3 linked regions of the Stegostoma tigrinum genome follow. The protein of the gene in region 3 purifies or fractionates together with the protein of the main gene of each other region. This does not show direct contact. Links are inferred from orthologs where the notes say so. Each region holds a gene or a part of one and is shown on either strand. Other genes may lie near its edges.

What was found. The genes of interacting proteins can lie anywhere in the genome.
Region 1: the proteins of usp4 (region 3) and DNA endonuclease RBBP8-like purify together in Homo sapiens (affinity purification with western blotting; 3 studies listed by BioGRID, with this or other methods). This does not show direct contact. The link is inferred for Stegostoma tigrinum from reciprocal best matches to the Homo sapiens genes USP4 and RBBP8.
Region 2: the proteins of usp4 (region 3) and edc3 purify together in Homo sapiens (co-immunoprecipitation; 3 studies listed by BioGRID and IntAct, with this or other methods). This does not show direct contact. The link is inferred for Stegostoma tigrinum from reciprocal best matches to the Homo sapiens genes USP4 and EDC3.

Annotation. Positions count from the first base shown.
Region 1 is NC_081358.1:19,880,499-19,888,370, reverse strand, and holds the start of DNA endonuclease RBBP8-like, read left to right. Parts: upstream 1-4,801; 5' UTR 4,802-4,949; exon of another isoform or gene 4,950-5,074; intron 5,075-5,192; exon of another isoform or gene 5,193-5,324; intron 5,325-6,638; exon of another isoform or gene 6,639-6,656; intron 6,657-7,872. UniProt on the Homo sapiens protein: Endonuclease that cooperates with the MRE11-RAD50-NBN (MRN) complex in DNA-end resection, the first step of double-strand break (DSB) repair through the homologous recombination (HR) pathway.
Region 2 is NC_081389.1:17,321,559-17,329,507, reverse strand, and holds the start of edc3 (enhancer of mRNA-decapping protein 3), read left to right. Parts: upstream 1-4,878; 5' UTR 4,879-4,990; intron 4,991-7,949. UniProt on the Homo sapiens protein: Binds single-stranded RNA. Involved in the process of mRNA degradation and in the positive regulation of mRNA decapping. May play a role in spermiogenesis and oogenesis.
Region 3 is NC_081364.1:12,075,114-12,082,956, forward strand, and holds the start of usp4 (ubiquitin carboxyl-terminal hydrolase 4), read left to right. Parts: upstream 1-4,796; 5' UTR 4,797-4,930; coding exon 4,931-5,019; intron 5,020-7,843.

The DNA of each region.
Region 1 (7,872 bases), on a different chromosome or scaffold from region 3:
ACTGCTAGAGGAAGTAATAGAGGCGAGTACAATTACAACATTTGAAAGTCTTTTGAACAAGTACTTGACGAAGAAATGTTTAGAGGGACTTGGGTCAAATGCTGGCATCATTCATGTGAGCATGGAGTCAATAAAAGGTATTGAATAGTTTGATCAGCAATCATCACATTGAATGGTGGGGCAAGTTCGACAGGCTGAATGACCTACTTCTGTTTTCTTATGACACGATTCCAGCATTGACACCGGGTTTAAGTCCAACAGCAACTTACCCTGTTCAAGTGATATTCATAAAGTCAGGAAGCGTCTATTTAGGATCCCTGTAGCTGAGATGCCTGACCTTCCAACAACAACAGCTGTCTTCCCAAGCGTCAGGTCTGACTGCAAACAGTGGAAAATTTGCCGATTGATTTAAGCTTTGCTACAGCTCCTTGATACCACACTCCACCAAATGCAGCCTTGATGTCAAGGGCTGTCACTCTCCGTTCACCTCTGGAATTCAGCTCTTTTGTCCATGTTTGAACCAATCTTGTAATGAGGGCAGGAACTGAGTGGCCCTGGTGGAACTCAAACAGTGTGTCACTGAGCAGATGCTGCTTGATGGTACTATGAGTGATACTTTCCGTTGCTTTACTGATGATCAAAAGTAGGTTAATGGGATGGTAATTGGCTGGTTGAATTTGATCTGCTTTTTGTGTACCATACACATCTGCACACTTTTCTACATTTTCAGGTCGGTGCCAATGTTGTAGCTGTACTTGAAGAGCTAAGTAGGGAAGTGTTAATTTTAGAGCACAAGTATTATAGCCGGAACGTTATCAAGGCCTGAAGCCTTTGCAGTATCCAGTGCCTCCAACTGTTTCTTGATATTATGTGGAGTGAAGTGAATTGGCTGAAGACTAGTATCTGCGCTGATGTGGACCCCAAGAGGAGGCTGAGATGGATCATCCACTCAGCACTGCTGGCTGAAGATTGCTGCAATTGTTTTAGCCTTATCTCTTGCACTGATGAACTGGTGTCTTCCATCATTAAGGATGGGAATATTTGTGGAGTCTCCTCCTCCAGTCAGTTTTTAATTCACCATCATCATTGGTGGACTGCCGAGCTTAGATCTGGTCCATCTGTTGTGGGACGGCTTACCTCATTTGCTGCTAATATAGTCCGGCCTGCATATAATCCTGTTTGGTAGGTTCACCAGGTTGACACCTCATTTTTAGGTATGCCTGGTGTTGCTCTTGTCATGGCTTCCTACACTCTCCATTGAGCCAGGGTTGATACCCTGGCTGAATGCTAATGATTGAGTGGGGCATATGCCAAGCCATAAGATTGCAGATTATGCTGGAATACAATTATTTTGCTGTTGATGGCCCACATATTCTCAAAGGTGCCCAGTCTTAAGTTGCCAGACTGGTCCCACTTATAACAGTGATAATGCCACACAACATGATAGAGGGTAAGCAGGACCTCATAGGACTATGTGGTGGTCAGTCTTACCAATACTGTCATGGACAGATGCATTTGCAGCCAATCGATCGGAAAGAATGACGTCATGTATCTTTTCCCTCACCACCTGTGGCAGACTCATTCTAGCAGTTACATTATTTTGGATGTGACCAGCTCAATCAGTAGTGTTGCTGCTGAATCCTTAGTGACGGAGGGCAGTATGTGGTAACTAGCTGCAAGTTTCCTTGCCCATGTTTTACCTGCTGCCCTAAGACTTCATGATATCCAGAGTCAATGTTGAGGGCTCCGAGGTCAACTCTATCCCAACTGTATACCACTGCGCCACCACCTCTGTTGGGTCTGTCCTGCTGGTGAAACAGGACATATGTGATGATATTGCCTGGGACATTTACCACATATGACTATGTCAGGCTGTTGCTTGACTAGTTTGTGAGACAGCTCTCCCACTTTTGGTACTTGTCCCAGCTGTTAGTCATTGGAACTTTGCAGTGGCACTAAGGCTTGGTTTTGCTGTTATCGGTGCCTGGGCCAGTGCCAGATGGCCCGTCCCTTTTTACTTCATGGTTGAGAATTCATAACAATTGTTACAACCGAGTGGCTTGTTAGGCCATTTCAGAGGGCAGTTGAGAGTCAACCACATTTCCACAGTTCTGGAGTCACAAGTAGGCCAGACCAGGTGAGAATGACAGAATTCCTTCCCTGAATGTGATTACTGAGCCAGACGGGTTATTTTTCAACAATTGGCAGTGGGTTCATAGACATCAAAAGATTCTTAAAGTTTCAGGTTTTTGTTTATAACATTCAAATTCTGCTGTCTGCCGTGGTAGGATCTGAACCTGTTCTTCAGTACATTAGCTGTGTTTCTGGATTAATTATCTCGTAGTAATATCACTCATTGCCTCACATCCATCAGGTCACTTCAATTTTCCTGAGAGAAAGGATGTAGTCCAACATATTTTTTCTAACATGTAATGTCCAATATCCTGGTCCAATAAGGGCTTTGGATAGCAGATTAACATAACTGCATAATTTACTCCGCTTTATGTATGAGTTACATAGCAGTCCTCACTTTTAAATATGCCGCCATCACAATGAACAACTGTCCTACAGCTGCCAAACAAACCATCATCTCATGTCAGAGTCTACTCTGCAGGACTGTTTACTGTAACACAATGATAATTGATTTTATTGATCTACACTGCTACCTAATTACAACTTTCCATCTCAGATTAATATGAGGTTGCTTCAAAGCACAAGGAACACATTCTAATTTTGTTTTCTTTTACTTCATCAGCTGTTGAGTTAGGGACCTGTCAGCAAATATTCGCATTTACATTTGTGTCTCCCATGGTTCAAATCTTATCATACTCGGCTGTGGAATCATAGGCTGTACCAGAGAGTTAGTCAGAGCCCTTGGCTAAGCTTTCATAACAGAAATGAAGGGTTGGTGCACTTTTAGAGATCTGTGTTACAGATAAGGTGTTAAAATTAGTCCTTGTCTATCATTATGAGCGAGCTTAAAATATTCCACATTGTTATTTCAAAAAACAGCAGATTTTATATACTGGCTAGCGGTTACCTCTTAAACCAACATGTAATAATGGGAAAGGTTATCATTTTGCTTCGGGAAATTGCTGTGTTCAAATTGTGTGCAACGTTCATTACATTTCTATGCTTCAAAAGTGCTCAGTTGGCTGTAAAATGGAATTGGGATGATGTTGCGAAAGATGGAACCCATGATGTGGAGGTGCTGGTGTTGGAGAGGGGTGGGCAACGTCAGAAGTCACACTACATCGGGTCATCAGACTGCACCTGACGAAGAGGCCGAGCTCCAAAAACATGTGGGATTCCAAATAAACCTGTTGGCCTATACCTGCTGTCATGTGACTTCTGATGTTGTGAAAGATATTATAGAAATTGAAGTAATTTCCTTTTTTCTTTGAATTCATTTGCTTAAACAAACTGAAATTTGAATAGGAATGTAGTTATCTATCTGCCAAGATTTTCTATTTAGTAAAATATGGTTTTTGCTACAGTCATTTGTTGTTGAGGATTATTAATCATTTCCATAGAAATACACTAATTACGAGGAAAGAGAAAACCATGTCAAGTTGTGAGTTGATGCATGATGTTATAACTAGTTTTCGCCAGGAGGTGGTGCTGATTCAGCTTTGATTTTACAGAACTGCAAATTTCTCCAAGTTGTGCAAGTGCTCGTGTTAGACTGGGTTGGAGAAAATCAAGAGTCACACAACACTAGGTTACAGTACAACAGGTTTGTTTGAAATCACAAACTTTCAAAGCTCAGCCACTTCATCAGAAGTGGGAGAGAAGAGCACGCAAACACAGAATTTATAGGCAGATGCATCAAGGGCAGAGAGATCAAAAGATCATACAACTGGTATGCGTGAAGTTTTGAGTAAGAGGTCCTGCAGGAGACCATGAGTGTTGGGTGACAGGAGTGAAGTGCCAACTGCTGAATAGCAAGTGAAAGGATAACCCAAAACCTGATTAAATGGGGTGGAGAGATAATTTCAAAACATTAAAAATAAGCCAAGCTGAAACTGATAGCCAAGGTCTGTACCCATGAAGACAACGTCAACTGTGATCTTGGGTTCATGTTGTGTCACATGCGACCCCATCACACAGCTCAGCATCTGTAAAAACCTTCCTTACTGTGCTGTTTTGACACCATCACCTTAATAACTTATTATGATCGCTCTACCTTGATTAGTTTGTTCAGTTTTGATTTACTTATTACTTTGGTCAGACCATTGGCGTGCGATTCTTACACCTCTCATGCTGTTCCAGTCATTTAGTTTGTCTCCCGTACCACCTTATTTTTAATTTGTTTAAAAATTCCAGTCATTTTCGATATCATTTTGTTTATACAACGTTATGTAACATTCGATCGGCCTTGGACTAGCATAACGTTTCCAGAACATGTTTGACTACGTTAGATAATCTGATGTTGGAAGGAGGGTTGACCATTTGTCAAGCTCTGATAGGCGGGCCCTCCCATATTGGGGCGGGGACCCAGCAGATAGGCGGGGTCAATTCCAAATAAGCCGGGCATGTGGGCGGGCCTCTCGATGGGCTGATCACCCCACACTAATTGGCGGGGCCTTATAGCGGGGCGTTGCCTTTCCTACCGACGGGCGGTGACTTCAGTCACGTGCTGGTCCTTATTGATTGACAGCTCCCTGCCATTGGGGCGGGGCCACGTCGACGTGCGGCGTTTTCCGTACGGACGGGCGGCGCCCTAAATGGGTGGAACCGCGCCCACTGCTTCTTCGCAATGGTTGAGATCGATGTCACTCACGGGGATTTTTTTCCCCCCCACCCATTTCCGGCAGCGCAGCCTGCCGTTGGGCTTATTCCCGCGTCATTTCGAAGTTTGTGTTTGAATCGGGAGTTGATCCTGGCTCGAGCTGCGGAGTCGCTCGCTCAGTGACGGCCGAGTTCCTCTCCTGTGCGGCGAGACTGAGGTGACGAGCACTGTCGTGAGTGTGAGAATACGGGGGCGGATACAGGAGAGGGCGGCCTAGAATTCTCCAGAAAACCTGGAGAAGGGAAAAGGTGGAGAAGTTGCTGGTTAAAACGGAGGCAATAAGTGAGTGAATCAGGAATGAAGAGAGTGAGGGGTGGGAACACGCAGATAGCTTTTCCAATAAGCTCCTTTACGGTGTGTTTACATCGGTGTCTAATCGGTGGTCTGGTACATTCTTCAGGTTTACCGTGAGTGCTGCCGGTCCTCACCGGACGCCTCAGAACTGTCCTGGTGCGGGAGGCGGCCATTCAGTCCATCGTGCCACGGCTGGCCCAATGAGTTGCTGCAGCGGGGCCTAGGATTCAGGCAAGACGTTCGTACTTGATTTCATAAGATCCACGTTTATTGTCGCCGTTTGCACTTTCCTCCAGTGCTCAGCTGAAGTGTTTAGAGCAATATTGAAAGCCTGGGTTTATTTTTGGAGGATGAATTCAATTTGTAAAGTCAAGTGCAATCTAACTGCATTGCATTACTGGTTTTATTGCGGAACGTGCATCTATAAGCATGATGCTCAAAAATGTGTGCTACTTAGTGGTTTTGTTTTGGAGTAAAATTTTGTTCCATCAGAATGAACATTGCAGGGAGGCAGTGCTCTGCATTAGATCATGCAGCTGTGATTTCTGCTTTGCCACCAGTGTTCTAATGAGGCTACTTCTATACAGCAAGCAATCTTTGGTAGTTTCCACAATGGACTCACTTTGCCTCTGTTCTTGAACACAGTAGTGATGGCAGCATCGCTACGATTGGCAGGGGTTTCTTCTTTGTCCCAGATTTTTGATGGAGATGACAGGTAAGCTCTGCCCCTCCCAAGTCAAAAAATTCTGTTCGAATCCCATCTACTACTGCAGCTTTTCCATTCTTCATATGTCTCATGACCACTTTAATTTCTTCCACATTAGGTGGGAGTCCAGGACCGTCTTTGGGGAGTTTGTGGGATTTCCTCAAACACATCCTCCTTGATTGTATCGAAGTTTATATGTTCTTTGAACTATTCTGTCTGTCGGAGGCTTATGTATTTTGTGTCTCAGAAGTGTTCCATCTGTACTTCGTAGCAGTTTGACACCTTGGTGTACAGTCATTACATTGTTGTAGTGGCACTGAAGAAACCTGGGTGCTGTGCTTGTCAGCAAGGAGTTGCATTTACTTAGCTTTCTCAATCCTCCATTGGTGGTTCTTTGTAATTCTGTCTTTTGCTGTTTGAGATCCCTTCTTTGCCTTGCTGGTGATGTTTTGCCAGGCATAGAGAGCTTACCCCTTGATGATGAGATCTTGGATGATGTGGTTACTCTCATCAAACTATTCTTGACGTTTCCTGATCTTGCAGCCGATAGTTTATTTCACAACATGAGGTGATAGCTGTCTTCAGCTCTTTCTAGATTTCCACAATTCCATTGAAATGAGCTCTTTGGTGATTTTTGTTGAAGACATTATTGGAAATTTGCTAGTCTGTTTGGCTGTTGAAGGCTTACAATGTTAAATATTTTAATAAACTGTTTCTTTGTCTTCAGCTGTTTTCTGGTGGCTTATGATGGATGTGGAGGAATGTATAAGCCGGTGGTGCAGATGGCTGCTTGAAGGACCAATCATCAGCTTGGTAATGACGATGTCCCGTTGTCATCATTCAGTCCCAAGACCATAGTCGATCGTAAGCCAGCACTTTAATTGCGTATCCTTCAAGAGGCTTCGAAATTGTCTTTTTGGAGGAACAGTGCATTGATGAATAACAGCTGGTGTTCTGCATTTTTAATGAGTCGGAGAGTCCCCCTGGAATGGCACTCCTCGACTTCTTCCTTTTTGAGTGGTCTCTTTCCAGAGCTCAGGGTCCTTTTTACAATTCTGGTATTGAAGTCTCCAAGCAAAGTAACTTAATATTCCTTTTAGATGTTGCTGAGTATGGTGTTCAGGGTAGAGTAGAACCTGCCTTTAGATTCCTCTATGGCATCAAGGTTTGGAGTAGAGACACTCAGTTGCTTGCTAGTTCTTGGCAAGTTGGAGACAGTCATGAGGTGATTGATGCCAACGGTGAGCTCTTAGAGTTGATTGACAAGTCGTACTTGATTGTGAATCCAATTCCATGTGTCCTGCATTGATCCTTGGGTTTCCTTTCCAGAAGAAGCTGTAACCTTTTCTGTCAGCTGCCCTTCACCTGCTTTTTGAATTTCCTGCAGGGCAGCAATATCAATGTTGAAGTGCCGTTCATACATTCCAGATTCCAAGATTGAAGTTGACTTTGGTTCTTCAGGCTGCAGGTAGATGAACCCACTGGATGTCGTTTTCCAGCCGGGTTGATGATGAAGCAAACTATGTTTCAGGCACTTTATCTAGCCCCCCCTCTACGCAGGGTGAGCAAAATAAATGCGAACAGAGCTGCTCACTTGTGAAGAAAACTGCCAAAATGCCCTTCTATTCCTGGCCCATATGTCGGACTGTGCCGTCTGAAGCTGGGAACTTCAAGATTTCTCAGTCCTGTCCCCATCGTGTCTCACCGATCGCGGAGGTTTGTCTGTGTGTCCTAGATAGATGCCCTGTGTAGGACATCTTTTAACATGGGAATGCCATTGCATTATCAGCAGACACGTGGCCCTTGACAGAGGGTAGATCCAGCACTCGTGGCACAGGGACCTCAGTCAACCCGGTCTGCTCCATGAGCAAATAATTCATGGTTAACAGAAGCAACACCTCCACTTACACTGCTTCCTTGCTGTTAGACATTTTGCTGCTTTCCACATCTATGCTACAGCATAAAACTATTCTGTGAACTGTTTTGTGAGGTAATTTTTGAAAATCTGTCTGTCCCATGCACTGCTTTTTCACACTTCAATTGCTGCTTAAAACAAAATTTATATTTGTTCAAACATGAT
Region 2 (7,949 bases), on a different chromosome or scaffold from region 3:
TTACTGGTCTGTAGAGCTAGAAAGTTATAGAGATAGGAAGGCCTGGGATTTAAACAGGAAAATCAATGTTGGCGAATGGGAGACAGTCCAAGCCAGCATGCAAAAGTATGGTAGATGAATAGAAGACAGAATGGGTTATGAAAGGAGCAACAGAGCTTTGGATATTCTTATCTTTATGGGTGACCTGCTAGGATGGTATTGACGCACTCAGTTTGGAGAAAACAAGAGAATGGGTAAGAGTTTCAGCAACGGATAGAAATGTAACTATCAGAAGACATGGAACAATCGATTGTCTGACAAATTAGTTATATTGACATTACTTTGTTAACAAATTAGTTATACTTGACATTAAATTGTTAATGTTTGATGTAATAAATTATAAGTCTCAGCTTAGTTGAAATATTAAAAATAGTGTTTATAAAGTGACCTTAGCGTGCAGGTTCATAGTTCCTTGAAAGTGCAGTCGCAGGTAGACAGTGTAGTGAAGAAGGCATTTGGTATGCTTGCCTTTATTGGTCACTGCATTGCGTAAAGGAGTCGGGAGGTCAGGTTGCGGCTGCACAGGACATTAGTTAGGCCACTTTTGGAATACAGCATTTGATTCAGGTCTCCTATTTATGGGAAAGAGCTGCGAAACTTGAAAGGGTTCAGATAAGAATTACAAGGATGTTGCCAGGCTTGGACGTTTGAACTAAAGGGAGAGGCTGAATAGGCTGGGGCTATTTTCCATGGAGCATCGGAGGCTGAGGGGTGACCTTATAGAAGTTTATAAAATCATGAGGGGCATGGATAGGGAGAATAGTCAGATCTTTTTCTCAATGTAGGAGAGTCCAAAACTAGAGGGCATAAGTTTAAGATGAGAGGGGAAAGCATTACAAAGGACCTGAAGAGCAACGTTTTCACATAGAGGGTGGTTTGTGTATGGAACGAGCTGTCAGAGGAATTGGTGGAGGCTGAAAAGGCTTTTGGATGGGTATGTGTATTGGAAGAGTTTAGAGGGACATGGGCCAAATGCTGGCAAATGGGACTAGGTTAATTTAGGAAAACTGGTTGGCATGGACGAGTTGAACTGAAGGGTCTGTTTCCGTGCTTTATATCCCAATGACCCTAATTCTGAAGTTGTGGCTTTGAACTCCTCATCCAGGCTAAAAACCTAAAACAGAGCTAAGGCTGCGCTACACTGTTAGAGGTGCCATCCTTCAGACAAAATGTTAAACAGATCCCTGTTCTGCATAATCCACTGTGATTCCATGGTGTTTCTTTTAAAAAGGAGGTCTCCTGGATAACATACTTTCATTAACTTCTACCACTAGTGGTACTGATTATCTGGTTATTTATCACCAATCCTATTTACCTTCGCTTAGCACAAGATAATTATTACAGTAATATGCTTCAAAGTGATTTGATGTTCATGACTCATATAGAAATTATAGTGCATCTTTAACATTAGCATTTATGTTTCTGTCATACTGGAACCATCAAGTCAAAACACAATGTTCTTACCATTTCCACTGGACCTTCTGTAATCTTCTCTTTTCAAATATTTAGCCAAGTTCCTTTTATATTATCAACAGTACCTCAATAACCCCGTCTTGCAAAGTATTCCATGGTCTAATGACTGTGAAAATGTTTCTTTTAACTTTTAATTTTGTTCTCGCAATGGCAGGGTTGAGTATGTACTCCCTTGTTATTAATTCATGATCCAGTTGAAACAATATTTCACTACTTGCCACATCAAGACTATTTATACTTATGAAAACCCATTACATTGCAGTTAATCTTCACTCTTTTGGGGGAAAAATCCACTGTTTCAAAGCTTGCTCTGTAATTATAATTTCTTGTTTCTCATCATTCTGTAGCCATTTGTGATTCTGATGTTCTTCCAATCACAATACTCCAGCTGCAAGCTAATTATCGCCTTGCACTAATTTAGTATCACTTTCTTCTTACATTTTATGCTCCTCTGCATACAAACCCAGAATGAAAATGGCCTTTTATTGCATTTTGCAGCCAGAATCCTTTCCTAAATAGGCTAATCTCTATTCAACTTGGATCTCCTGCGTTCCTCCACTCTCTTAAGAGTCCTTACATCGAATTATATAGGACTTACAGCACAGAAACAGACAAGTCAATTGGATCAATTTCATCAACCTGAAATTCCTTTGTTATAATGTCTTGCTTTTAAAGCCTCATCCAAATTTAACTTCAGTCACATGTGGTATTGAAACCTGTAAATTTGACCCTCAAAATTTTTGTCACTTCTACTACAGTAACACCACTGTATGCTCCCTCTCCTGCGTACTTCAAAGGGACATTTTTTTGTTGAAACACACTGATCTTCACATCATAGCCATTATCTCTCCCGTGGCAAATACTCAAACAGTCACAAGAGGTGTAACACCTTCCCCTTACCCACAGTCCCACCCCGCCACCTGCAATCATTGTCCAAGCTCTTTCAAGGTGCTGCAACAATTTACCTGTACTACTTTTAATTTAGTATGTTATATTTACTACCTGTATTGTGGTACGTTTAACACCAAGGAGCCAAATGCAGAATGAGTGACCATTTTGTGGAATGCCTCTGCCTCAGCCCACAAGCTTCTGCTTTCTTGAAAACTTATTTGATCTTGTTAATATATCAGTCTTTTGCCAGTGGAGCTCGAGAAACATCTCATCTTCTGATTTGGCACTTTTTACAGGCTTTTGAACTGGATATTGAGTTCAACAATTTCAGACCATGAGCACTGTCCCTCCATCCTGATTTTCATTTTTTTTGCCATGTGCTGTTATTGTTTCTGCGCTTTTGCTCTTGGTCAGAGCTGCTTATTATTCTTCCATTCAGGCTGGATTAATGCTTTGGTTCTTCACCATATCCATTAATTTGCTCTTTGGCTTTGTTTCATAACATCTTTGTTATTTAAATTCTCCTTTGCTTTTGCTCATCCTCTCCATCTGACATTTCAGTGGCACTTAGCCCATAACATTTCCAGCTTCCTTCAGCTCAACAAAAGAATCACATCTGAATCAAAACAAAATCTGTTTCTCTCACAACAGATACTACAAGATCAGTTGAGCATTTCCAGCTGTTTCTGTTTTTAACCACAACTCAAGCGACTCAATTCTAATTTCATTAGATGGTACCACAAGGATCTGGTTCAAGTCTCACTCCAGGGTTGACATACAAAACTCATGCCCCTTAGTCCACTGCAGTTCTAGGTTAAATTGTGCTGATTGAGGGTTTGTTTTTCAGGTAAACTGAGGACAGGCCTATCTGTTTGGGTGAATGTAAACTAATCCATTGAATTATTCTATGGAGGAACAAGAGGTTTGTTCTTGACATGCTGGCTGATATTTATCCTTCAATCAACATCATGTTAACAGGGCTATCTGGCCTTTGTCACCTTGCTGTTTGTGAGATCTTGCTGTGTGCAAACTGGCTGTCTTATTTCTTACATCAAAACAGGAACCACACTTCAGAAGTATTTCACAGTGTGAGATATGCTTTGAGATGTCTGGCGGTCATGGAAAGCATGATGTAAATGTCTTTCCTTCTTTATTTACTACATATTTGAGTCATTTTTTTGTAATCTTGGAGGTTTTAATGATGCCCTCTCTAGCATTATTGACTCACTGTTAGAGAAGATCCAACTGAAAAAATCTTTATCACAACATCATATCAGAAATTGTCGAATCAATGCCAATGTTTTCTCTCTGCGAGACATACAGTCTAATCACACTCTTGAAATCACTCCCCTTATCTTTCAACATTCATTTTTCTCAAGTAAGTTATCAATTTCCCTTCTTTAAAATAGTTTTGAGATGTCATGGTTTAAAAAGCTTTGCTTCACTCTTTGGAAAGGAGCCTTGTTGGTGCCTGTTAATGTCAGTAGCTTGCCATATTTCTTGCCATATATCCTACATGCATTCCAAATAAGTCTGTAATTTTAACATCATGCTTGCTTTACAATCCTCCAAGATCACTGCGCTTTCCCAAATGTTGGTTTTTTTTTGCATTCCCAATTTTTAAGTTATTATATTGTTGACAATATTGTTTCCTCTTCAGGAACGTGGGTTTTAAGTTCTGGAATTCTCAACCCAAAACTTACTGCATCTCCCTCCTCTTTACAATGCTGCTTAAAATTTATCTCCTTGACTCAGCATTTAAACACACTTCCAAACACAATTTATCAGTTTTTTTACTGCTCATAACATTCTACTACATTAAAAAGACATTCTCTAGCCTGAATTGACTAAACATTGTGACTTTCATAATTGTGAAGATACATATGTGAACTTAAAATTAAAGTATCTGTAGGGCAACTTTCGTTGAGTCACAGCGTTGCTATAGACCCCTTAAAGGGCTGGAAGTCATCAAATGAAGAATGAGCGTCTTGAATGATTAATAGTAATTAAGAATTGATTACTAAGCAAAGGGTCTCGGGGCGCAGTCGTTGAAACCCTACTTCTGAGCCAGGAGACCTGGACTCAAGTTCTACCTGCTTCAGAGGTGTACACTAACATCTCTAATCAAGATGATTACAAGATATCTACAGACTGATCAATCGGTGTGGTCTGGTGATTGGGAGATGCTAGCTAGACCCTACGGACTCTTGTGGTGCAGTGGTAATGTCCCTGCCTCAAAGCTCGGAAACCCTGGTTCAAATTCCTCCAGAAGTGTACAATAAGCAGACACCTCTGAGCAGGTTCATTCGGTAATATTTTGATTACTAACCGATTTTCGTTAAGAAGAGCAGGGCTGCTGACATTCAGCAGATCTCCCTAGGATGGAGATTGTCTCCCCGTTGCTATGGGAGGGAGAGGAGGGCCGGAAGTGAAGACTGGTTGCTAGGAGGGTGTGATGTCAGTGCGCGGCCCGCGCAGGCGCAGAAGTGGGACTGGCGATGGCGGAGTGGTGTGTCTGCCGTCGTTGCTGAATCTTAGTGACTCGCTGGCCAGCTCATTTTCACATCGTCCCTTCTTTAGATACGACGTAAGGGATCCTGCCGAGCTTATCGCGATGTGTCTAACCGGAAACGCTTGTATTTTCTTTTTGGGTCTGCGGGTGGGTGAGGAGTTTGGATACTGTTAGGCCTGGAAGTTGGATTGGGCCTACCGTCCACTCCAGTCTAATTCAGCAGCAAATGTCCGGTCCATCTTTTTTGCAGCTGCAGCTGCAGCCTAGTCCTAGTCCTTCGGTGATGGTGAGGAGACACTATGGAGGCATAGTGAAAATGACGCTCTGAGCTAGTAATCCAGCAAGCCTGGCTGATGCTGTGAGGCTTTGGTTTTATATTCCATCCAAGTGACTGGTGGAATACCTGTTCAGTTATTCAAACCTGGAATCTAAAGCTAACCTCAATGGGGTCCATGGCAACCATAATCAATGTTCTCAAAAATTCACTTGGTTTTATGAGGAAAATAGGTTTGCCATCCTTCTCTGGTTTGATTTACGTAATACTCCGCACCTACAGCAATATGGAACAAAAACAGAAGATGCTGAAAACGTTCAATAGGTCTGGCAACATCTGTGAAGAAACAAAAAAAGTTAATGTTTTGGCACTGATGATCCTTCTCCAGAACAGATAATATGGTTTACTCTTAACTACCCTCAGAAATGGCCTAGCAATCCGCTTGGCGAAATAGCAATTAGGGATCCACAGTAAAGTTTGGCCTTGCCAGTGGTGCCTGTATCTCAAGGGAAAGAATTATAGTTTGTTGGTTTGTTTGTCCATTTACAGCCTTCTTTCATGCTATAGCACTGGTGCTTCTGTCACTCCAAAAGTTTTCGACCGGTCCCCCTCCCCTATAATAGTCTCTCTGTGAAAACAGCAATGGCTATAAGTATGTGGATGTCTGGGAGAGAGCTACTGCAAATGTTCATCACTCAACCTGCCACATTCTGCTTTTTTGCTCTATTCCAGAAGCCCTCAAAACTAAGTGAATCTAGACAACTCCCTGCTGCACTTATGTTGATGTAGTGGCTGGAGAGAAGAGATAAATGCTTAAAGTCATGTGTTTGAATCCTCGTTTTTGGATTTGTGTGCTTACACTTTAGTGAGAGTGTGCAGGCTCAATGTTGGAACAGGCAATATATTCCACAATTACCATGCTGAATGCTGTTTTTAGCTGATAGTGTTCTCAGCTTGAAATTATAAAACTTGTATGATGTATGCAGTTTTACCAGTTTTGGAGTTTTGCTGTTGTACAAAATGGATGTTATAAGCCAAGAATGTAGTTGACTTAAGACTGACCCAGTATTTCAATTCAAAGATAAAATTTTTAAGGAGTTCTAATTTCTAATGTGATACTTTACTGATGGATTCTCAGCAGGGACATAATGACTTGTTTGTAGGTAGTAGCATTTTTAATAGATGGGTTGTATGGTTTTTGACTCTGGATTTTGAAGCATGGTTTTAAAATTCATATTGGTTTGTTTTTAAACTGATAAATCATTCCAGACATGCGTATGGAACTGTGGCCCTGCTTTCTGTGCCTTGTGTTACAAATTTGCCTCATGGTAGTGATGGGGTGTAATATTTTGATAAAATTGCATGCCATTGAACATTTTGCAGTAAGTTTTTTAACCATTTCCCCAGAACACTTCAAAAAATTTAATATTTGAGTTGTGTTCACTTTTTAACCAATTTTGACAAATGTTGAGCCAGGTATTCTGTTTTGTGCAGAGCATCTTTGTAAATTTGAAAATTCCTTTTGCAATTACATGAATTACTCAACATTTGAATGAGATTGCAGTAATTAAGATTACCAAAATTTGAGGGATCAGTGACACTCTCAGAATGTAGGATGTTAATTGTGCACAGTTTAATTTTACTTAAATGACTTGTTGCAACAGTTTACTAGAAAGTAGTTTAAAATAGTATGTTTTTGTGGTTCAAGGCATTTAAGAGTGCTGTACACTGGATATGTAACTGCACACTTAAAGGCTCCCAACTGCAGTCACTAGAGATTAGAGCAGCACTGTGGAGGCCAAGCACTCATGTAGCATGGTTCACTTTATTGCTTTTTGATTCAGTTGTTTTATAGACCAAAATATTACTGGACTGCTAATGTTCCAGATATGTCTGGACAAAAATCAGTTGCAATATTCCCATCGACATATGGAGCATTGCTTGCTCAAGACTGCCCAACCTGTGTAGATGAAGCATCTGTGCAGGTATCAGTCTGTGTCTCTGACAGTCCTACGTGGAGGTTAAACACAGGCAACTGAAGAGGCAAAAAGCTAAACATCCCATTTGTGACAGATTTTGCAGACCTGACAGTGAACAGTTTAGTCACTTCAGGACCACAACATTGGAGTGGAAGAACGTCTTGCTGTATTTCGAATGAATGCCTAAGAAGGATCGGTGAAGGGGATAGGTTAGTGGCCTGCTTATTTTGATTGCAGAGTGATACCTAGTATGGAACCAAAGGAAACTATATTCTTTGATATTCACACAAACAATGTGGGATAAGAACAGCAACGTTTGGTGAGTGTTGATGGTTCTGAGCCATGATAATTATTAGTTCACTTAAGTTTTGGAAGTGAACTAAAATGAAAAGTTAAAAGCAATATTGTTTTTGGGTTTTCTCCTTTGCCTTTTCAGAAATGTTCTCCTTAAAAGCATTGGCTTTCAAATTGTCTCAGTATTCAACTCAAGTATCGATTTATTCATGAGGGTTTGATGCAATGTGGCAGAGTGCTATTTGGCTGCATTATTAGCTTGTTGTCCGGCTAACACTTATTGCCTGTCCCCAGTTTCCCTTGAGAAGGTGGTGGTAAGCTGCCTTCTTGAATAGTTGCAGTCCTTGTACTGTCAGTTGACCCACAATACTGTTGGGATGGAAATCCAGCGTGTTTGTCCCTGCAGTGTGAAGGAACTAACTAACTGAGCATAGATCGCAGATTAAATCTTGGAATTTTTAGGTGTATGAGATCTCTTTATTATAGA
Region 3 (7,843 bases):
TTGGAAGTAGACTTAGGAGAAGGAAGGGAAGCAGCTGGGGCAGTTAATTATAGTCTTCATCTTTGTCTGTGAGGTTCTCACACAGCATTTATCTAAATTACGCTATCTCGCACATGGAGGGGTCCAAATTTAACTTGCTAGGCTCAATAACTACAGGGAAGAGGAAGGTTGAAAAAAAAAAGATGAGTGCTGCAAACAGCAAACTGAAAATGATAATACTTCCTGTTACCAGCAAACAGAAGTGGTAAAAAGGACTGTTGAAAAACTGAGAGTCATAACATGTCTGTACTGCCCACAGAGGAGGCCTGGTTAGAACATGAAGTTATGTTGCTCACATAACACATAGCTCACAGTTACACAGCAGCACATGTCTGTGTTCAGTAAAACTACATATGGATGCAACCAAATAAGATATGCGACTCACTCAATGTGTTCATCAGCCATAACAGGATTCACAAGAGGTCCTTGGAAGTTTCTCATGATCAAGCTTCCTTTGCATCAGGTCAACAATATGACCTATGACCTACATGCTCATCTTGCAGGTATTGTGCTACTCCCTTTGGAGCTCTTTTCTAAAATTATTTGCCTTCCGCAAACTCAAGCTCCTTGAAAGTCTGTATTTTTAACAAAGCATTTGCTTGTTCCAGGCACCCCACCTTCCCAAATATTTCTGAAGCACTGGCACCTTGTGCACAGATGCTATTTTATGTCAATATAAATTGTAAACTGTTTTAACTCACAGAGTAGTATGATTATAGTGACAGATTACAAAGAATGGTACAAACAAACTACAATGTGCTGAAAATTTCACAGGAGTTGATGTCAGCAGCAGACACAAAAAGATAGGTAATAATGGGAACTGCAGATGCTGGAGAATCCAAGATAACAAAGTGTGGAGCTGGATGAACACAGCAGGCCAAGCAGCATCTCAGGAGCACAAAAGCTGACATGTCGGGCCTAGACACTTCATCAGAAAAGGGGGAGGGGGAGAGGGAACTGGAATAAATAGGGAGAGAGGGGGAGGCAGACCAAAGATGGAGAGAAAAGAAGATAGGTAGAGAGGAGAGTATAGGTGAAGAGGTAGGGAGGGGATAGGTCAGTCCAGGGAAGACGGACAGGTCAAGGAGGCGGGATGAGGCGGTAGGTAGGAAATGGAGGTGCGGCTTGAGGTGGGAGGAAGGGATGGGTGAGAGGAAGAACAGGTTAGGGAAGCGGAGACAGGCTGGGCTGGTTTTGGGATGCAGTGGGGGGAGGGGTCGAGCTGGGTTAGCTTTGTGATGCTGTGGGGGGAGGGGAAGAACTGGGCTGGTTTTGGGATGCGGTGGGGGAAGGGGAGATTTTGAAGCTGGTGAAGTCCACATTGATACCATTGGGCTGCAGGGTTCCCAAGCAGAATATGAGTTGCTGTTCTTGCAACCTTCAGGTGGCCCATGATGGACATGTCGTCTGAGGAATGGGAGGGGGAGTTGTTTGTTGTGAACTGAGCGGAGGTGTTCTGCAAAGCGGTCCCCAAGCCTCCACTTGGTTTCCCCAATGTAGAGGTAGCCACACCGGCTACAATGGATACAATATACCACGTTGGCAGATGTTCAGGTGAACATCTGCATGATATGGAAGGTCATCTTGGGGCCAGGGATGGAGGTGTGGGGGCAAGTGTAGCAGTTCCGGCAGTTGCAGGGGAAGGTGCCGGGTGTGGTGGGGTTGGAGGGGACTGTGGAGCGGACAAGGGAGTCACGGAGAGAGTGGTCTCTCCGGAAGGCAGACAAGGGTGGGGATGGAAAAATGGCTTGGGAGGTGGGGTCGGATTGTAGATGGCAGAAGTGTCGGAGGATGATGCGTTGTATCCGGAGGTTGGTGGGGTGGTATGAGAGAACGAGGGGGATCCTCTGGGGGCGGTTGTGGCGGGGGCGCGGTGTGAAGAATGTGTTGTGGGAAATGCGGGAGACGCAGTCAAGGGCGTTCTCGACCACTGCGGAGGGAAAGTTGCGGTCCTGGAAGAACGTGGACATCTGGGATGTGCGGGAGTGGAATGCTTCATCCTGGGAGCTGATGCGGCGGAGGCGGAGGAACCCCTTCCCCTCACTGCACCCAAAACCAGCCCAATTCTTCTCCCCGCAATGCATCACAAAACCAACCCTGCTCGACCCCTCCCCCCACTGCATCCCAAAATCAGCATAGCCTGTTTCCGCTTCCCTAACCTGTTCTTCCTCCCACCCATCCCTTCCTCCCACCCATCCCTTCCTCCCACCTCAAGCCGCACCTCCATTTCCTACCTACCGCCTCATCCCGCCTCCTTGACCTGTCCGTTTTACTTGGACTGACCTATCCCCTCCCTACCTCCCCACCTATACTCTCCTCTCCAACTATCTTCTTTTCTCTCCATCTTTGGTCCGCCTCCCCCTCTCTCCCTATTTATTCCAGTTCCCTCTCCCCATCCCCCTCTCTGATGAAGGGTCTAGGCCTGAAACGTCAGCTTTTGTGCTCCTGAGATGCTGCTTGGCCTGCTGTGTTCATCCAGCTCCACACTTTTGTTAACAAAAAAATAGGTTCATGTGTTAAAAAGGGTCTTTTTTCTGGAACTCTTGAAAACTGCAAGATCTATTTAAATTATCAACAAAGGGAAAAATATGTTTAGAAGGGGTATATACCCTTTGACAAGTTGTCTGTCAAACTTCAGAAGAAGGAGTTGTTGATCCACTATCTTAAACATTCAATCTCTCCACCTGCAATTGCACAGTGACAGCAGAGTGTAACATTTACGAGTTGCACACCAGGCCACTTCTGACAGCAGCTTCCTGTGAGGTCCAAAGTGGACAAATAGGGCAGCAGAAGCATGGCAGCAGCACCACTTGCAAGCCCTAAGCCTCCAATACCATTCTGACTTAGAACTACATAACCATTCCCTTCACTGCAGCTGGGTCAAAATCATGGAGTCTACCTAGCAGTCTTCAGTGGTTAATAAGACAGTTCACCACTACCTTCATCTTGAGGGAAATAAGCGATGGGCAGCAAACTCATGAAGTTTTAAAGAAGCATGAACACTTGTTTTCCTTAGATTAGTTCACAGGTCGGCGCAACATCGAGGGCCGAAGGGCCTGTTCTGCGCTGTCTTGTTCTATGTTCTATGTTGCCAGACCTGCAATTTCTGTTTTTGCTTCAAATCTCTAGCATCCACACAGAGAGTGGTGGGTACGTGCAATGGGCTGCCAGCAGTATTAGTGGAGTCAAATACTTTTAGAGACTAAAGTGACTCTTGGATGGTCCCATGGAGAATAGTAAAATGTAGGGTATGCAGGGTAGATTGATTTTAGTACGATAATACAGCGGTGCCAAAGGGTCTGTACTGCTCTATGTTCTTAGAGCTTGTTTCTGTGCCATATGACTCTTTGATCCAACCTGTCCACGATAGCCAGGTTTCCGAAACTGAAGTAGGTCCACACTTGTGTTTGTCCATATTCATCTAAACCTTTCCTATCCATTTACCTGACCAAATGTCTTGTAAATATTGTAATTGTGCATGCCTCCACCACTCCATAAATTCTGTGAAAAGGTTGCCTCTCCAGTTCCATTTAAATCTTTCCCCTCTCACCTGAAACCTAAGCCCTCTAGTTTTGGACTCCCCTACCGTAGGGAAAAGGTCTTGGCTATTCACCTGATGATTTTATAAATCTCTGTAAGGTCACCCTCAGCCTATCCAACCTCTCGTTATAGCTCAAATTTTCCACTCTCTGTAACATCCTTGCAAATCTTTTTTATACCCTCTCCAGTTTAATAACATCCTTCCTGTAGCAGAGCAACCAGATTTGTACACAACTCTGTACAAATATAGCATTACCATTGTTTTGCATAGTTGTAACAATGTGTCAACTCGTACACAATAATCTGATCAATGAAAACAAAAGTGCCAAATACTTTGATAACAAAGTGTGGAGCTGGATGAACACAGCAGGCCAAGTAGCATCTGAGGAGCACAAAAGCTGATGTTTCGGGCCTAGACCCTTCATCAGAAAAGGTCATCGTTTGTCTTCCTAAGATGCTGCTTGGCCTGCTGTGTTCATCCAGCTCCACACTTTGTTATGTCGGATTCTCCAGCATCTGCAGTTCCCATTATCTCTGTGCCAAATACTTTCGTCATCGCCCTGTCGAGCTGTGATGCCACTTTCAAGGTACTATCTACCAACACCCTCAAGTCTCTTTGGTCGACAGCATCGACAAGGCTCTACCAATAACTGTGCAAGTCCTGCGCTGGTTTGTCTCACGTTTATCTGCGTTACACTCCATCTGCCATTCCTATTTTCTTTGTTTTATCACATGAATGATGGTTTTTCTAGTTTGACAAGTTGAGGACAAGTTTAGGATAGCAGTTACTGGTAGGGGTTGGCAGGAGTGTGGATTAAGGCCAAGCCTCGGGAACCATCTAGAACCTGTCACGACTGAGTTGAAATTCTAGCTGGATGACTCAAGCCTACCTTCCTGGTCATCTCCGCTCCTCTTATTCCGGGAATGCAAATTCGAGCTCAGGCCATTCCAAGACAGAAAAAAAGATAAATGATTTATTTTTGATTTTTTTTCATGACTTAGGAGACCGGTGTTACTACGTCGCTTTTGGGGCATTGTGGGTGGGGGAGGAGGGGGGCTCGGGGCCGTCGGTTGCTCAGCAACCGTCTATTTCATACAGCTGCCTCACAACAGCCGCCGTCTCGAATGACGCAATGACGCAGGGGGTGGAGCACCGTCGTCCCCTCCCCCACGGTGAAGAGGTGGTGGCGGAAGCACGGCTGCGCAGTTCGGGGAGGCCGGTCGGTTGTGCTGGTGACGCGCACGCGCGTCGTGCGGGGTCCTTCCCTCCCCACCAACCCAGCCACCTCCCCGCCTCCCTCAAGACTCGGTTCGCTCGCGCTCCTTCACTTTCTGGGTGTCGGTGAGAGTAATGGCGGAAGGCGGCGTCCCGGACCTAGAGAGCCAGAAGAACGAGATCGGGAACTTGTTGAATACCTCGCTCAAGAAAGGGGATTCGTGGTAGGGGCAACTGTCGGGTTTTTGGGGGTGGGGGTAGTCGTCGCAGCGGTGATTTAACGCCTCAGGGTCAGGGTGAAGGCCGTGGGTAAGCCCCATCCCCGTCGTTCCCCACTAACCTACTGTCCCCTTAGTTGGGGGATCTGAAGCAAGCCTTTGGGATAAAATACGGCCCAGGGTGAGCCGGGCCGTGAGGGTCAAATCCAGGGCAGAGCTGGGGGTAGGGAGGTGGCCGGTTTGCCATGTGATGGGTATAGGCCTCGGGATTCCGCTAGTGAACCGACCCGGGAAACCCCGGGCCCAGTGCCGACCCGCCGCGCGCACAGCACCCCATGCCCATGTCGGTGCAACAGCGTGGCCTCAAAAACCGGTAGATTAGAACATTGTCCAGCCACGAAGACTCTTATTCCCGAAGGAGGCTGTTTAAAAGGTTACTTTCAACCTTGGAGCGGATATTTCGAAATATTAAGGTCTCTGATCTAACTGTGTTTATGTTGAGATTTGATTGCTCGCCAGCGGTCCGCAGCACGCACGCTTATAACATTTTAATGTAAATGACACTGCAGTTTTGTGTGAACTTTATGTTCCACGCACAACAGTTTTCTGACGGTAGGGTGATTGCCAAAACATTCTGTTTTTTGCTTGCCCCATTTTTTGCTAGTTCCTTTAATTTTTTTAAGAATGTAATTACACTTCCAATCTGTTATTTTAAAAAAACTTTACTTTGACAAGACATTTTTACTATCTATTAAGTGTTGGTCTTGGTCAATCATTTTAAGAATTTTATCAATGTGGGTCTGAGTTTGTTCGACTTGGAGCAGAAGAGGAGGCCATCTTTTAGCAGGTTATAAATCCTGAATGCATTTAAGAATTTTCACTTTAAGCACAGCTCTTTCTTGCTGGACCAGCTGTTCTATTGTGGGAATTAGTTCCACTCAGTTCATCCAAGTATTTTGCTGTTGCAGGACTTCCATGCTAAAGCAGTTTAGAATTAAGTGTGCATATATTCCCTGAGCAATTTTTAAAGAGCACTAACACAATATCATGTCTATTTACCTTTAACTGGCAGGCTCACTTTACTGTTGCAAACAGAAACGAAGGGAAGAAAGAGGGCATTGCTCCAGGCCACCCTTCTGCACTGACAGCTGTCATTCAGCTAAGCATGAGAAAATCTACACTGGGGAGTAGAATGTTTTTCCAGTTTTGTTACCCACTGTCGATGCAACACATCCCAAGGCACAGTCCAATGTAGATTAAACTATTATTCCCACAAAATACACCTTTAATTTAGCACTTTTAATGTTACTTATTCATCGCTGAATAGCTGCTAGCTTATACCAAATTACAGGCAGCTTTTGTGGTGTAAACATGCAGTGCCCAAGAAAAAGGACTGAAGCTGTGAAGACAAATTTCTGTATCAAATTTTTATATTGAGTGAAGAGAAGGAGCTGTGATCCTAGAAATCTGAATGAAATTGATGCCAAGTTTCGGAAGGGAAGGGTGATAAGATTGAATAGGAAACAGTAAGGTAGTAATTATGCTGCTAGGTTAGTAATCCAGACTTCTGAGCTAGTGATCTTGAGTACTGAGTTCAAATTTAGTGAATGAATAAATCAGTAGTTTCAGTAATGGAGTTCATGTAACTTCTGGAGTGTCTTGGGGGGAAAAAATTGATTATGAATGTTTTACATGGGAGGAAATTGCCTTTATTCTGTCTAACCTATAAGTGACTCCAGACCAACGAAAATGTGGTTCACTTTTCAATTCCCGTCTTAAAAGAACAAACAAGGTTTTCAACCAAAACAGTTAGGTATGAACGAATAAGTGCACCTGGTATTGTCATTGGTACCCATTCAGTGAATGACTGGAAAGAGGCAACACTTCCCACTGTAACCTATTTTCATGTAGAGGAAAGAAAAGAAAATATTTTCATTGTACAAATTTTTTCTCTAGTAGTCTTGCGAGCTGTTTATCTGTGCCTTAGATCTGGTAGCATTTCAGTCAAAAAGCTGTGTATTCAAATCTTCAAAACAGATTTGAGCATTAAGTCTATTTTGATGTGTCTTGTGCTCTGGGAGAATGCTGTGTTTGCTTCAGGGGTACCATCTTCTGGATGAGTCATAAACAGTCTGAACTCTTGGGTGGGTATAAACCATCTCTTTGCGCTATTCTGGGAAGAGCAGGTGAGTTGTCCGATAGTCCAAGACAATGTTCATCCCTCATATGACCCTTTATTTTGTAATTGTGGTTGAATTTTGCTCTCATTTTGTCTCTAACTGTATATCCTTGCCCCTCTGCTCTGTCATTGGTAGCAGAAGTTTGAAAACATCTGATAGTTTCACTGTGGTCCTCTTGATTTGTTTCTCTTACTGGATTTAAAAACTCTAGAAATTGATTTTTAAATCCATTTTGGTCGACTTTTATGACTTTACTCACTGTCTAAAATCGCTTGCGTTGTATATCTTGCTCACTCCCTGTTGTTTGTTGCAACCAAGCTAATATAACTGTTTTGCAAATACACATAATTGTTTAACTCTGTCACCATATCACTCAAATGCTCCATTAATTATGCTTCCTGTATACTTGTTTCTAAATTACATTTTCCTTGAAATAAAACACTTCCCAAAATTCTTGACCATGTTCAGTTCAACTTGTGCGGGCACAATCTGAACTTTCATGGTCATACTTTGATGTGCTTAGTACTTTAAGACTCTGTTCTGTTGTATAACATTGTTACTAGGTTCTATTACGTATTTAGTGACACCAGAAACTTGTTGTCTTCATGCTTTTAGATGTTGCACATCTTGAAAATTCTGAAGGGAAGTAT